Linked DNA regions of Canis lupus familiaris. The protein of the gene in region 2 interacts with the protein of the main gene of each other region in a pairwise test. Links are inferred from orthologs where the notes say so. Each region holds a gene or a part of one and is shown on either strand. Other genes may lie near its edges.

What was found.
Region 1: the proteins of ARRB1 (region 2) and GNMT interact in binary tests that used the Homo sapiens proteins (3 or more experiments, as listed by UniProt). The link is inferred for Canis lupus familiaris from reciprocal best matches to the Homo sapiens genes ARRB1 and GNMT.

The regions. Positions count from the first base shown.
Region 1 is NC_049233.1:11,685,370-11,692,423, reverse strand, and holds GNMT (glycine N-methyltransferase), read right to left. Parts: upstream 4,126-7,054; 5' UTR 4,090-4,125; coding exon 3,884-4,089; intron 3,120-3,883; coding exon 2,992-3,119; intron 2,565-2,991; coding exon 2,448-2,564; intron 2,240-2,447; coding exon 2,097-2,239; intron 1,989-2,096; coding exon 1,867-1,988; intron 1,784-1,866; coding exon 1,612-1,783; 3' UTR 1,399-1,611; downstream 1-1,398. Other genes in the region: PEX6 (peroxisome biogenesis factor 6), read left to right, coding at 1-46, 163-240, 562-701, 836-972. UniProt on the Homo sapiens protein: Catalyzes the methylation of glycine by using S-adenosylmethionine (AdoMet) to form N-methylglycine (sarcosine) with the concomitant production of S-adenosylhomocysteine (AdoHcy), a reaction regulated by the binding of 5-methyltetrahydrofolate.
Region 2 is NC_049242.1:23,398,777-23,405,052, reverse strand, and holds part of ARRB1 (beta-arrestin-1), read right to left. Parts: intron 6,075-6,276; coding exon 6,007-6,074; intron 3,848-6,006; coding exon 3,712-3,847; intron 2,731-3,711; coding exon 2,646-2,730; intron 2,193-2,645; coding exon 2,120-2,192; intron 1,278-2,119; coding exon 1,140-1,277; intron 1-1,139. UniProt on the Homo sapiens protein: Functions in regulating agonist-mediated G-protein coupled receptor (GPCR) signaling by mediating both receptor desensitization and resensitization processes.

The DNA.
Region 1 (7,054 bases), on a different chromosome or scaffold from region 2:
CCAACAGACCCGACCTCCTGGACCCTGCCCTTCTGCGGCCTGGCAGGTGTGTACCCTATTCTCATCTCTACCAGGACCATCTAGGCCTGTCCCTTGACCCCCACCTTTGCCTCCTCCATCTTCATGCTGGGCTCCCTGACATTTACACCTATTTCCCTAAAGATTTGACAAGCTGGTATTTGTGGGGGTGAGTGAGGACCGCGCCTCCCAGCTACGTGTCCTGAGCGCCATTACACGCAAGTACGCCCTGCTAGGGGGAGACTCTCACAGGGCTTGGGCCTTGGGATGTTTAGGGGATAAATGCAATGTGCAGAATAAGCCGGTCAGGGATGCCTTCTGACAGAGGATGCCAGGTAAGGGACGCCTGGGTGGCTCAGCAGTTGAGCATCTGCCTTTGGCTCAGGGCATGATCCTGGGGTCTTGGGATCGAGTCCGCATTGGGCTCCCTGCAGGGAGCCAGCTTCTCCCTCTGCCTGTGTCTCTGCCTCTCTCTGTGTCTCTCATGAATAAATAAATCTAAAAAAAAGAGGATGCCAGGTAAAACCTCTATCTGCATAACAGGTTCAAGCTAGAGCCCTCTGTGAGCTTGGTGAATGTGCTGGATCGCTGTCCTCCCCAGCTGACAGGCGCAGACCTCTATTCTCTCTGCTCCGATGCCATGACAACTGCCCTCAAACGCAGGGTTCGGGACCTGGAGGAAGGTGAGCTACCTGCCAGCCCCATAGGCCAATTTGGGGGCCTCTGGGCAAGAAGATGATGCCCACTCCAGGGCTCTCCCCTCCTCGGACACAGGCCACAGCCTTTGTTGCTCCCTTGTCACCCTTCCCCCCACCAGGGCTGGAGCCCGGGAGCTCAACACTGCTACTCACCATGGACGACCTACTGCAGGCCGCTGCCCGGCTGCAGCCCTCAGTCAGTGAGCAGGAACTGCTCCGCTACAAGCGCATCCAGCGCAAGTTTGCCGCCTGCTAGGAGCCTCCTACCATCTGGGACCCTGCCCGCAAGGGCTGAAGGTACTTAGGTGTCCCCACAGAGACCTGAGAGAGCAAAGGGCTCCTCAGCAAGCTGTGGCTGCACCCAAAGGCTGCCTATCTCCAGGAGATCCCCTACATGCCAAGCAGCCCCATGGGGACTCAGAGGGCATCATCCCCTGCCTAGCTGTCCTTCCAGGCCAGCTCCAGCCCCAAGACTAAAGACCCTCTGCTGGGAGGAGGAGCTTGGCCAGAGGGAGCCTCAGTCTTGGCTGAAAATAAAGTGGATGCTGCCCCCTGCTGGTTGTGATCTGAAAGATTGGAGTGTGAAAAGAGCTAGTTTGTGGAAGGACAAAGCCCCAGGGGAGGGCCAGGGAGGGGACGGTGGCGGGAGCTTGATCCTTCCCATATAAACACAAAACATGCAGAACTGAAAAAGGCACAGACTATATTGCTACTACTTCCATTTGCCCAAACCCAAATCCTGCACCCACAACAGCAGTCTTGCCCCTCCCAGCACCCCAGGATCTGCAGGGCTGGGGCTGGGCCGGGTATGGGACTGCTAGTCCCCACCTCCCCAGAGAGATCTGGCTGGCCATGTTGGCTGGAGGGTTGTAGGAGCTGAGGCCAGGTTCAGCGCTCAGTCCGTCCTCTTGAGCACATGGATAAAATAGCAAGGAATGGAGGCCTGGCCCGGCTTGTAAGGCTTGAAGTCACCCAGGACGCTGTGCTGGCACTTGCCCCCAAAGGCTGCTCGTAGCAACTCCGTGAAGGAAGCCAAACGGTGCGGGTAGTAGGACAGCCGGAACTTACTGCAACAGAGCCCCCAAGCAACCATGAGGACTGGTGGCCTCGGCACCACCCCCCTTCACCCGCTGCCAAGCCCAGTGGGTACCTCAAGCCAGGAGAACCATCCTGACCAGCCCCTGGCACCTGCACTGTATAGTCCAGGGTCACCATGTGGGCCTTGTTGTTCACTGTCAGCACTGATGTGGTGATGTCCTTGGTCAAGTCGCTCTGTAGGTAGTGGTGCAGGCTGTATTAGCCTTGGCAACCACTGCAGGGCTGGACCCCAGGATCACATCCCCCATTCTGGGCTTCTCATCCCACCCCCAGGGCCCTCACCTTATAGTAGATGTTCTTTCCTGGGGGTGCACAGCCTGTGCTGAGGATGTGGTCATAGTTGCGATGGTCAATGACCAGCAGGCCCCCTGACCGCACCATGCTCGCGATGTTCTTCAGTGCCAGCCGGTGCTCACTCTGATCTCCTGAGCTCCAGGCAAGGGCAAAGAGGCTGCGTCCGCTCAGGGCCCCAAGCACCAGTCTCCCTCCCAGCTTTTTCCTCCCCAGGGATACAGACGCCAAGTCAGGGAGGAGCAGAAAACAGTCTGCTCTGGCCAGGATAGCAGGCACCCAGGGGTCTGTGAAAAGAGGTATAGCTCAAAGGGCCAGGCTCCAGGGTACACTCTGTCTCACCTTTGCAGTCTGGCAAGTGGGCAAAGCTGTTTCCAAGGCAGATGACAGCATCGAAGGCACCCCCTGGTGGCTGGGGCACATCTTTGTCCAGAGTCATCCAGTTGGCTTCTTCAATGACTGGGACCAGGAAGGGGAAGGAGAGCTCGAGGTGGCATGGAGGCACCAGCAGTACCCCTCTCCATCGAGTGCAGCCCTGCCTCAGTTTCCTCTTCAAGACACATGGGGATTCCCCATCCAGTTAGGAGGAGGGGATTATTATGGATATGGAAGGTGAAGGGGAGGAGGGGTCAAGGGGGCGGGGAGGAAGCTGTGATGGGAAGAATGGCTCTGTGCTTACTGGGTTTTATTTGGGAGAAGACACTTATAATCAAAACTAGCCCCTCATTACCAGATACCTCATTCTAGTGCCTAAGCCTCCCTTTCTGGGGAAATGAAAGTAATTTTGCTGTCCCCTTAGGGAAAACAAACACCCGAATTTGCACAGGAATTAAGAGCACTGGGCCCTGGGGTGCCGGGCGGGGAAGGCCTGCCTGGACGTGCGTACCCCACTTGTCGAAGGCTGGCTCGTGCCGCCGGTTCCAGCGCTCTTTAAGTGCATACTTCAGCATCTTGTCACTGGCATCCACACTGGTCACGCTGAAGCCCTCTTCCACCAGCATGATGGAGTCCACCCTGGGCAGGGCCAGAGGGGAGAGAGGCAGGGAGGGGCAGTCAAGGGGCCTGGGAAAGGCAAGGAGGAGGTCCTGTGCTGGACCCTTCTGTCTCCTCCACTCTTGGCTCCATTCCTCTTCTTCCTCTCCCCAGGCCCTCTCCACTGATCTCAAATGACCTGGCAAATGGGTTCCCTATCACCAGGTAGCAACTTTGGGGTTTTGTTAGCATCCCTTCAGAGCCAGGCACTCCGTCATTGTGCATTAATCCTCACGGCAACCCTGTGAGGTACATGGGGTTTCCCTCGCTTGAGAGATGAGGCAAACTGAGGTCCCTGGAATTCAGGAACCTGGGCACGCGGAAGTAGTACAGCATCTCTTCTCCACTAGGTAGAGGGGCCTTCACCCCTCTGGGGCAGGATTTCAGCAACTCTAAGTGGGACATCACTGCATACATCTTGAGGTTTTCTGAAGACCTTAAAAATGGATGTATCCAAAGCTCCTGGCACAGCGCATGGCACGGCCAAGTATCGAACGAATTGTTAACTGTTAACACTGCCCAAGGCCACGACTCGGGAGCTGTGCCAGAGCCAGCACCCAGGAGAGCTTACATCGGTCTGGTCCCAAAGCCAAGCCGCCGCCGCCGCCGCCGCCGCCGCCGCCGCCGCCGCCGCGCCGCCGGGAGGATCCGGCCGTCGGCATCCCGAGTCCCCACCTCCACGCTGGCTGTCCCAGCCCCTCCTCCCGGCCGGCACCCCCACCCCCAGGGCCCCGGCCCGCGCTCACCCGGTGCCGCAGGCCACGTCGAGCACCCGTTGGCAGCCGTGCTGGCGCAGCAGCCCGAGCAGCCAGGCCTTGTACTCGGCCGTGCGGCTGCGGGTGTCCCCGATGTAGAGCTGCCACACGCGCGCCGCCTCCCCGTCCGCGTACTGGTCCGGGAGCCCTTCGGCCGCCACCCCCAGGGAGCGGGTGCGGTACACGCTGTCCACCATCCTGCGGCGCGCCTGGCTCCGCCGCCGCCCGCCCGCGTTTATAGCGCGGCCCGCCCGAGGCCGGCCGCCCCACCTGCCCAATGGCAGGTGAGCGCGGGGACACGCCCCTGCCGGGCTGCGGCCTCGGGGCGGGGGCGCGGCCGGGAGGTCTGAATAGGCCCTTCTCGCCCGCGGGAAGACCAGCCCTCTGGGCGACCACCCGGCGGCAAAGGGCCCTCCCTGCCCCACCCACTGAGCCAGGGCCCCGCAGGACCCGGAGGGGCCAGCCGCGGTGTGTGCGTGGGGGAGGGGAGCGGTGAGGCCGCCCACCCCACCGCCGCCACCTAAACTGCAAAGGAAGGAAAGAAAACTTCCCAGTCCACGCCGAGCTCAGCGCTCGGACGGTATTAGCATATCTAAAGGAGGCTTGTCCGGCTGGAGGAGGGCCTGGAAGGGAGGAAGAGGGCGTATCTGGGGATAAGAATGCTGGAGGGGCCACCCAAGTCCAGGAGCAGTTCTAGTCCAGGGGATCGTCTGCCCACCTGGAGGCAGGTGCTCCTCCGGCCTGGAGGTGACGCACTGAGCTTTTCCCTGAGTCTCTAAGGCGACGTCCGACCTTTCCTCCCAGTTCTTTACCGACTAGCAATGCTTCTAAGCACTTTTTGCTGTTTGAGGCCCCTGTTTGAAATCCAGCATCTCCACCAAAAATCAATCAATCTTATTTTTTAAATAAGATTTTATTGGGACGCCTGGGTGGCTCAGTGGTTGAGAGCTCGCCTTTGGCCCAGGGCGTGATCCTGGAGACCCAGGATAAAACATGGAGCCTGCTTCTCTCTCTGCATGTGTCTCTGCCTCTCTCCCTCTCCTGAATAAATAAAATCTTTAAAAAAAATTTTTTTAAAGATTTTATCTATATGAAATGAGCAAGAGAGCATGAGCAGAGGGAGAGGGAGAGGGAGAAGCAAGCTCCTTGCTTAGCAGGGGAGACCCACTGGGGGCTTGATCCCAGGACCACGAGAGCATGGCCTGAGCTGAAGGCAGCTGCTTAACCGACTGAGCCACCCAGTTGCCCCTTAATTTTTTTTTTTAAGATTTTATTTTAAGTAATCTCTGCACCAAACATGGGAATGGAACTCACAATCCTGAGATCAAGGATTCCATGCTTTATTGAGCCAGCCAGATGCCCCTAAAAGTTGATTAAAAAAAAAAAAAAATTAGAGGGGGGATGGGCAGAGGGAGAGAGAATATCAAGGGTGCTCCATGCCCAGCACAGAGCCTGATAGCAGCCCAATATCAAAACTCCTGAGATCAGGACACTTGGGTGGCTCAGCGGTTGAGGTCTGCCTTTGGTTCAGAGTGTGATTCCAGGTCAGAGGGTCAAGTTTCGCATCGGCTCCCTGTGAGGAGCCTGCTTCTCCCTCTGCCTATGTCTCTGCCTCTCTGTGTGTGTCTCTTATTCATTCAGGAGAGACACACACACACACACAGAGAGAGAGAGAGAGAGAGAGAGAGGCAGAGACACAGGCAGAGGGAGCCTGACATGGGACTCAATCCCAGGTCTCCAGGATCACACCCTGGGCCGAAGGCAGCGCTAGACCACTGAGCCACCCAGGCTGCCCTAAATAAAATCTTAAAACAAACAAACAAACAAACAAACAAACAAAAAACACAACCCTGAGATCATGACCCCAGCCGAAATCAAGAGTCAGGCACTTTCCAACTGAGCCACCTAGGCACACCTAAAACTTTTGGTTTCTTTCTTTTTTTTTTTTTAAGTATTTTATTTAGGGACGCCTGGATGGCTCAGTGGTTGAGCATCTGCCTTTGGCTCAGGACGTGATCCTAGGATCCAGGATCAAGTCTCACATCTGGCTCCTTGCATGGAGCCTGCTTCTCCCTCTGCCTCTCTTTCTCACCTTTCTGTGTCTCTCATGAATAAATTAAAAAAGATTTTATTCAATTATTTTAGAGCGAGCATGAGAGAGGGCAAGCAGGGGGAGAGGCAGAGGGGCAAGGAGAAGGACAAGAGGTCTCCTCACTGAGGAAGAGCCCTACCCCGCCTCAGGGCTCAGCTAGATCTCACGACCTTGATATTACGACCTTGAGATCACAACCTCAGCCAAAACCAAGAGTTAGCCGCTTAACTGACTGAGTCATCCAGGCGCCCCTAAAAGTTTTAATTTGTAAACATTCTCTGCTTTCTACAGAGATACCCGCAAGATACCAAGTCCATGGTTAGGGGTTGAAATGCTTGATGCCCTTGCTGCTGTGTTGCACACTTCTACTTCATAAATTGGCCCTTTGGTTTGGTTAGTGTACATCTACCCTTCCTCCCCAAAGCAGAGGTCTCTTCCTTTTTTTTTTTTTTTTTTTAAGATTTTGTTTATTTATTCACGAGAGACACACAGAGAGGGAGGCAGAGACACAGGCAGAGGGAGAAGCGGGCTCCATGCAGGGAGCCTGAGGTGGGACTTGATCCCAGGAGTCGATCCCGGGGCTCTGGGGTCACACCTGAGCCAAAAGCAAAGGCTCAACTGCTGAGCCACCTATGCGTCCCCAGAAGTCTCTTCCTAGGACAAGACCCTGGACTAAGGTGGATTCAGCAATATGCCCCCCAGTGAAGCCCAAGAAAGCGAGAACAGCCTTCCCCACCTATGTTTGTTCTTCTGGCTTCAGAAAGAGCTAAGCATGGAATTTAGAATGGAGGCTCCTCTCTCCTCATCCTTCCATTATCTGTAGAATCTGGGAGCTAGAGGGACCCCAAAGATTATGTAATCATTCTTAACTTCCTATTTTTAGCACACAGACTGCCTCAAATGGGCCTGTCTTCCCCAAGTAATGGAGTCTTGTGCTTATGCTGACCCTATAGAGAGGTCCTTGGCAAACTTAAAAGGGGCACAGGGGACACCTGGGTGGCTCAGCAGTTGAGCATCTGCCTTTGGCTCAGGGCGTGATCCTGGAGACCCTGGGTGCAACTCTGGGTGCG
Region 2 (6,276 bases):
GGGCCTGAGTCCCAGCAGCATGGTGAGGGCTGGGCTCTTTCTACCCCTGGTTGGATGGACTCTGCTTCTTTTTTTTTTTTTTTTTTATTTATTTATGATAGTCACAGAGAGAGAGAGAGAGAGAGAGAGAGAGAGAGAGGCAGAGACACAGGCAGAGGGAGAAGCAGGCTCCATGCACTGGGAGCCTGATGTGGGATTCGATCCTGGGTCTCCAGGATCGCGCCCTGGGCCAAAGGCAGGCGCCAAACCGCTGCGCCACCTAGGGATCCCTGGACTCTGCTTCTTTTGCTGCCCAGCAATCTGTGTGGCACAAAGGGCCAGACAGCGGGTTCAGGGAGGGAGAGGGAGGTTGGCAAGGCAGAGGAGGAGGTATTGGGGAAGACATGCAGGAGGTAGCCCCTCCACCAAGTCTTGAAGACAGGATTTGAGCCAGGGTGGAAGAAGAGGGCAAAGGCTTGGAGGCAAGTGGTCAGCATGTCCATGTGGACAACTGTGCGTCTGGAGCAGAGGATCCATGTTGGAAGTCAGGGGTAGGGTGTTGCAGAGGCAGGCCAAAGCCCCACTGGAGGGCCAGGCCTCAATGGCCAGGGTAAGGCGAGTTCCCCACATGCCAGGCCTCCACCAGAGCAGGGTAGCCTCAGAGTCAGTGATGACCGTGAGGCAGGAGTGATCATACGGCCCAGGGATCCCTGCCTTTGAGGGGCACACTGACATCTGGTCTAGCCCTGCTCACTGTCCACATCTCCCCAGACGCCCCACTCCGACTCCTGATTCATCCTCTTGTGCTGGAGTCACTCCTTTCCTTCCAGCCTTGCTCTGTCTCAGGGACGCACCCCGTCTGATTGAAGACACGAGGTCAGGAGCTGCTGCCTTCTGCAAGAAGCCTCTCCAGGTTGCCCTCCCCTGGGCAAGCCAGCAGAGCCCAGTACTTACAAAGGAAGCAGGGTCTAGGGGCCCGTCTTGCTCTCTGTGTCACCCCTAGATAGGGGTGGGAGTAAGAGGACAATTCAAGCTCCTAAGATGGATCAGGGACAACGCCTGGGGAGAGGGTAACCATACCATGTGCTGGCACTAGTGGGAAAAAGGAAAGGTGGGTGTGGGCCCCCTGGAGTCAGGGGGTGGGGCAAGCAGGTCCTCACAAGGTGCTGGAGGCCAGGTTCGTGTCTTCATGCTTGAGCTTCCCGTCCAGGGCGAGGCCCCGCTTCTCTCGGTTGTTGGCCAGGAAGGGCGTCAGGGTGTAGACCTTGCAGAATGTTGAACTGGGCGCCACTGTGTCACTGGGAAGAAGGGAGGCAGGTGTGGACACAGCCCCCAGGGCCAACCCCCAGCCATCACCCCCAGCCCAGTCAGAACATATCAAAGACCATATAGTAACATTTAAAACATGTTTTTAACTTTCCAAAATACATTGCCATTAAAAAAAAATACATTGCCATTATATGTAAAGAAACACACACATACGTGAAAAATTATATGAAATGCACTTGCCTCCCCAGAGGAGGCAGGGCCAGGAAAAAAAACCAAAAACCACACAGATGTGTCTTCCAATGAGAGTAACTACTTCCTTTAGGTAAGAAAAGATGTTTCATCTGAGATCTCTTGCCTTAGCCGCTAACAAACTTGAGACAAAATTCCATGCTCAACCAGAGTAGCTGTCCTCAAGCCTAGATTTTTAAAATGTAATTATTCTCTACCCTCCCACATACAACCCCTTTTACCTAGTAAGTTGGATTATTCTCTTATCAGACAAGAAATACTGTGTACCTAGTACCTTGCCCTCTTTGTCTTGGCTGTTAGGAAGCTCAGAGCAAAGTATGTCCTTCAACCTAGGTTTCTGGTACAGTGTAATTACAACCCCAGTTCCCTTTGATTCATTAGGTCTCATTTGGTCATTCTAGTTTTAATGGGTCTGTCCCTTGACTGTGGCATGTATTTTCTTGTAGCTAAACCAAGCAGGTGTTTTCTTAAAAGGCTATTTGGGATGATCTACTCTGAGCGACAAGGAAGTCTGAGATCCAGCCTTCTGTCAGGTGGAAAAGAACCATCTGCATCTGTAACTACAGCCAGGGCTTCTCATTTCCCCACCCACACATCCAAGGATGGGCTTGTGCTCACTTACTCAGCCTCTTCCATGGCCACAGGGCACTTGTACTGGGCTGTGTTAAAAAGGCAGATGTCCGCATACTGGCGCACTGAGAGGGAGAGGGAGACAAGGTGGTGTGAGCCAGGACTGCAGCTCCCGGGCATCCCAGGCTCCCTTGAGTTGGGGATGTTCAGCCCCAAGAATGGCCAGAGTGCACTGGGAGATTGTTCAAGAGACCACCCTCATCTTCCACACAAAGGGTAGCCCGAACACACCTGTTCCCTTCCATCACCAAAGGTCTCCCTCAGGGACAGCTTTGCCCAGAACCCAGGGAACTTAGAGGGTAGGTGACTTAAACAGTAAACTCATTACCTGGCCAATGAGTAGCCTGTGTTACTAGCCTCAAAAGCCTTTCCCTTTGGCCTAGAGTAGGCCCTGGGCTTTCCTGCGGGCCAATAGTTATCTACAAGGCTGTTAACAAGGGGAGAACCTTCAGCCACCCCCAACCCTTGGGAGAGTTCCCTCTTGCTGGCCCCATGGGGTGGCCTTCCACCCGGGGTACCCGAGATCTTGATCTTCTTCACTGTCTTGTTGGTGTTGTTGGTGACGTGGACATTAACGCTGATGGGTTCTCCATGGTAATAGATCTGGGAGGCAGAAGAAGAGAGAAGGGTTGGACCAGAGGATACTAAAGCTCCAGAAAGATGGAGGGAGAAGAGGCCCCATCATATATCCTAGGGTTCCCCAGACTTTGGCCACTCTGACGTTGGCCTCAAGTTCATCAGCCACTTCCCACTGATGCTAAGTCACTGGGCATGTTAGACCAGTTCTTTGTCAGGATTTTGAAAGATAATTGAATGAGGAGGTGATATTCCTGGGCTCTAGTCTGGACTTGGTGACCAGAAATAATGAGAACACTAATTATAATAATGATAAAGAGGATGAACACGGTGTGACCTTGGACAGGTTGGCTAAGCCTCGGCTTCCCCCCATCTGGAGGACTTGGACTAGGTGATGTATCAAGTCCCTGCTGGCTTGGGATGCCAGGAATTCTAGACACAGGAGGGCCTAGAAGAAGCAGGAGAGAGAGGTGGGGAAAGACGGGCCTGCTCACCAAGGGAACTGGCTCTGAATCCTTACTGAAGGACCTCAACTCAAATCTGTGGCCAACACTTGCCCTCAGCTATCCACAGAGAGAGAGAGAGAGAGAGAGAGAGGCAGTGCCCACACATTAAGAGGGGGACGGGGTGCAGGAAGACGGCCGAGACTCAGGTCCCTTCAGGAGGCACGCTGACTTCTTTTTTTTTTTTTAATTTTATTTATTTATGATAGTCACAGAGAGAGAGAGAGAGAGAGAGAGAGAGAGAGGCAGAGAGGAGGCACGCTGACTTCTAAAGTCGATTGTATCCCTCAGGCTCATGCCCCACTCTGCCATTCCTTTAGGCCCCCAGAGGCTTCCCCACAGCCCCCTAAGGGATGTCTCAGATTCCCTGAACCCTGTGGTCTTAGGACTGGGGGCAGAAGCTCTTACCTACCCCAGGAGCCCTGGTGACCATGAGAGAACTGGGATGAGATGTCCCAGCCCCAGGAGAACAGCCCCCACCCCCTGCCAAGTCCAAGCCTCCTACCTCCTTATCCAGGGAAGCTTCTAGATGCAAGGGCTTGTCCGACATGAGGAACTGCCTGGTGGTCTCAGCTGTGGGCTGGGGGCCAGGCCTCTCCGGGGCATACTGAACCTTCCTGATCACCAGGCGCACAGAATTCCTAATGGAGATGGGCAGAGCAAAAGATAGCCAGAGTCACCTGCCTCCATCCTCCTTCCTCATAACCCTCCCTTTCCTCCTCAGGAGACTGCCATGGCTCCCCCGGCGTTACAATCCAGACCAAACTGCAGAGGTGGACACAGAGGCCTTGTCACCACCTGGCCCCACTCCATCCTCCCCCATTGTGTACACAGCCACCCCCACTTCCTCACTATCATCCTCAGTGGTTCATCTCGTCCTGTCTCTGCAGCTTTGCTTACACCGGACCCCCGCCTGCAATACTCTCCTCCTGCTTCTACCCTCATTTATTTCCTTCTTCAGGACCCAGCTAAATACCTCCTCTTCCAGGAAACCTTCCTGGATCAGCTCACTTGATCTTGTCCCGGTCTTAACTCCCACACCAGCGGAGCTGAACCACCCCATGGCAGTCCCTCATGTGGATCTGTGCCTTGGCAGCCAGCAGGATGGCGAGAAAGGAACTATGTTTCACTTCCCACATCCCTTACTTTACTTAATAGTGTAAGCTCCTTAAGGAGCAAAATTTTTATCTCAATTGTTCACTGCTGTGTTTTCAACATCTATGACAGTGCCTGCCATATAACAAATGCCTTCCAAATATCTATTAAATCAAAATCTGCAGAGGGACCCCATGAAAAGGTGGGGGCTCAGAGAGGTGACGGGGTTCAGTGAGGGGGTGTGGATTCAATCAGGGGGATGTAGGCCAGTGACAAGGATGGGGACCCAGTGAATAGATGGAGGCCCAGAGATGAGATGGGACTCAGTGAAAGGGACAGGGGCTTAGGGAAGAAACGAGGATACAAGGATTGGGAGGGGATGGGATCTGGTGAGGCAGTGCCTGCGATGTGCTGGGTGTGCCAGCATCCCCATTTCTCACCTGCACCCCCTAGAACTGGACAGCCAGGCTGAAGGTCTGAGCTTGCCCCTTACTAACTATATGCCCTTGAGAAAATTCACCCCTGGATCTCAGTTTCCTCATCTGTAAAATGGCAACAGTAGCAACACCTACCTCCCAGGGTTGCTGAGAGGATTAAATTAGTTCCTACATGTTCACCACCCTGAATAGTGTCTGGTCCTTAATAGGCCCTTCATAAACGATAGCTGCTATATCATTATCAGTAGTATCTCTGATGTGGACTTAAAATGTCACACTGGCATAGGGTGAAGGCAGTGGCCCTCAGTGTCGTTCCTCTTCCTTGCTCCGGTCAGGCCCCCTTCAAAAACCCACGAACCCCTATCTTTCCCCTGGTCTCAGGTCTGAAGAAGAAAAGGAAGACAGAGAAGCCAGGGAGAAGGGTCCCATCTCCCCACACCTTGGAGTTGCCTGGGCTGGAGATGGAGATGCTCAATACGCTCTTCAGCCGCCAGGTGGCAAACTCAGCCCACTCCCTAAGAAGCCGCAGTGCCCTCCCTCAGCCACCCTCAGCCAGGCTCGGTAGGAATGCGGGCGGCTGCCTGGGGAGGCAGGGTGCATCAGAGTGGGGGGCTGAGGCCAGCCTCGCCTCCTCGCCAGAAGACAGGGCAGGGCCTGCCTTGAGGAGGAACAGGCACGAGAGCAGGGCTGGGCAGTCTATCTCAGAAGTCAGGTCCAGCTGTTTCCAGCTGCCAGTCTGGACTGTCTGCCCAGGGCTGTGCCTCTCTAGAGAACACTACCTCTTCTGACACGTGGGCTGACCCATCCCACACCCCACTGCCGCCCCCACTACCACCTGCTGCTGATGGCTTCCCAGGAGAAGTAGGAAGTAGGGGTTCAGGGTGGCTGGAAAAAACTCTTGCTCACTCTTTAAAATGATCCAAATTTTGTGTTTCTTTCCAAAATAAAATAAAAACATGCAGTCTCATGGGGCAAGACTTGAAGCAGGGTGATGGAGGAGGCAGGTTCAGCATTGTAAAGGGAGAAATCCTGAGGCCTGAGGCCTGAGCCCTAAGCCCCAGACAGTTGAGCCACTTTCTCCAGGAACCCCTCCAGGACTTGCCAGCCTTCCAGAGGGCCCTTCTTGGAGTTTCTGGGGCTGGAATATGCGGCCCCTCCTCACACACTTCCAGGTATTGTTACTTATCTCTTCTCTGACTTTGCTGGTCTTGTCTCTCTCCCTCTGCCAGTAGGCAGCCCACACCCAGCGGAAGCTGTGCCCTTCTCACCGCTTGTGGATCTTTTCCTCCAGGTTCTCGGCACAGAAGGCTTTGACCTCGTAGTCCACACCACAGGCCTGAGGAGAAGGGGCTGCTGACCACAGGGTCCCGACAGCACAGCCATCCCACCCTCTTATTTTACAAACCAGGACCCTGGAGGGGAATAGCAAACTTCACAGGCCAACCGCCCCTCAGCCTGATTCAGGACCCTGTGATCGGCCTCAGCCCCAGTGCTGTGCTGCACCCCAACCCCACCTGGCCTTCCCACAGAGCTCCCCT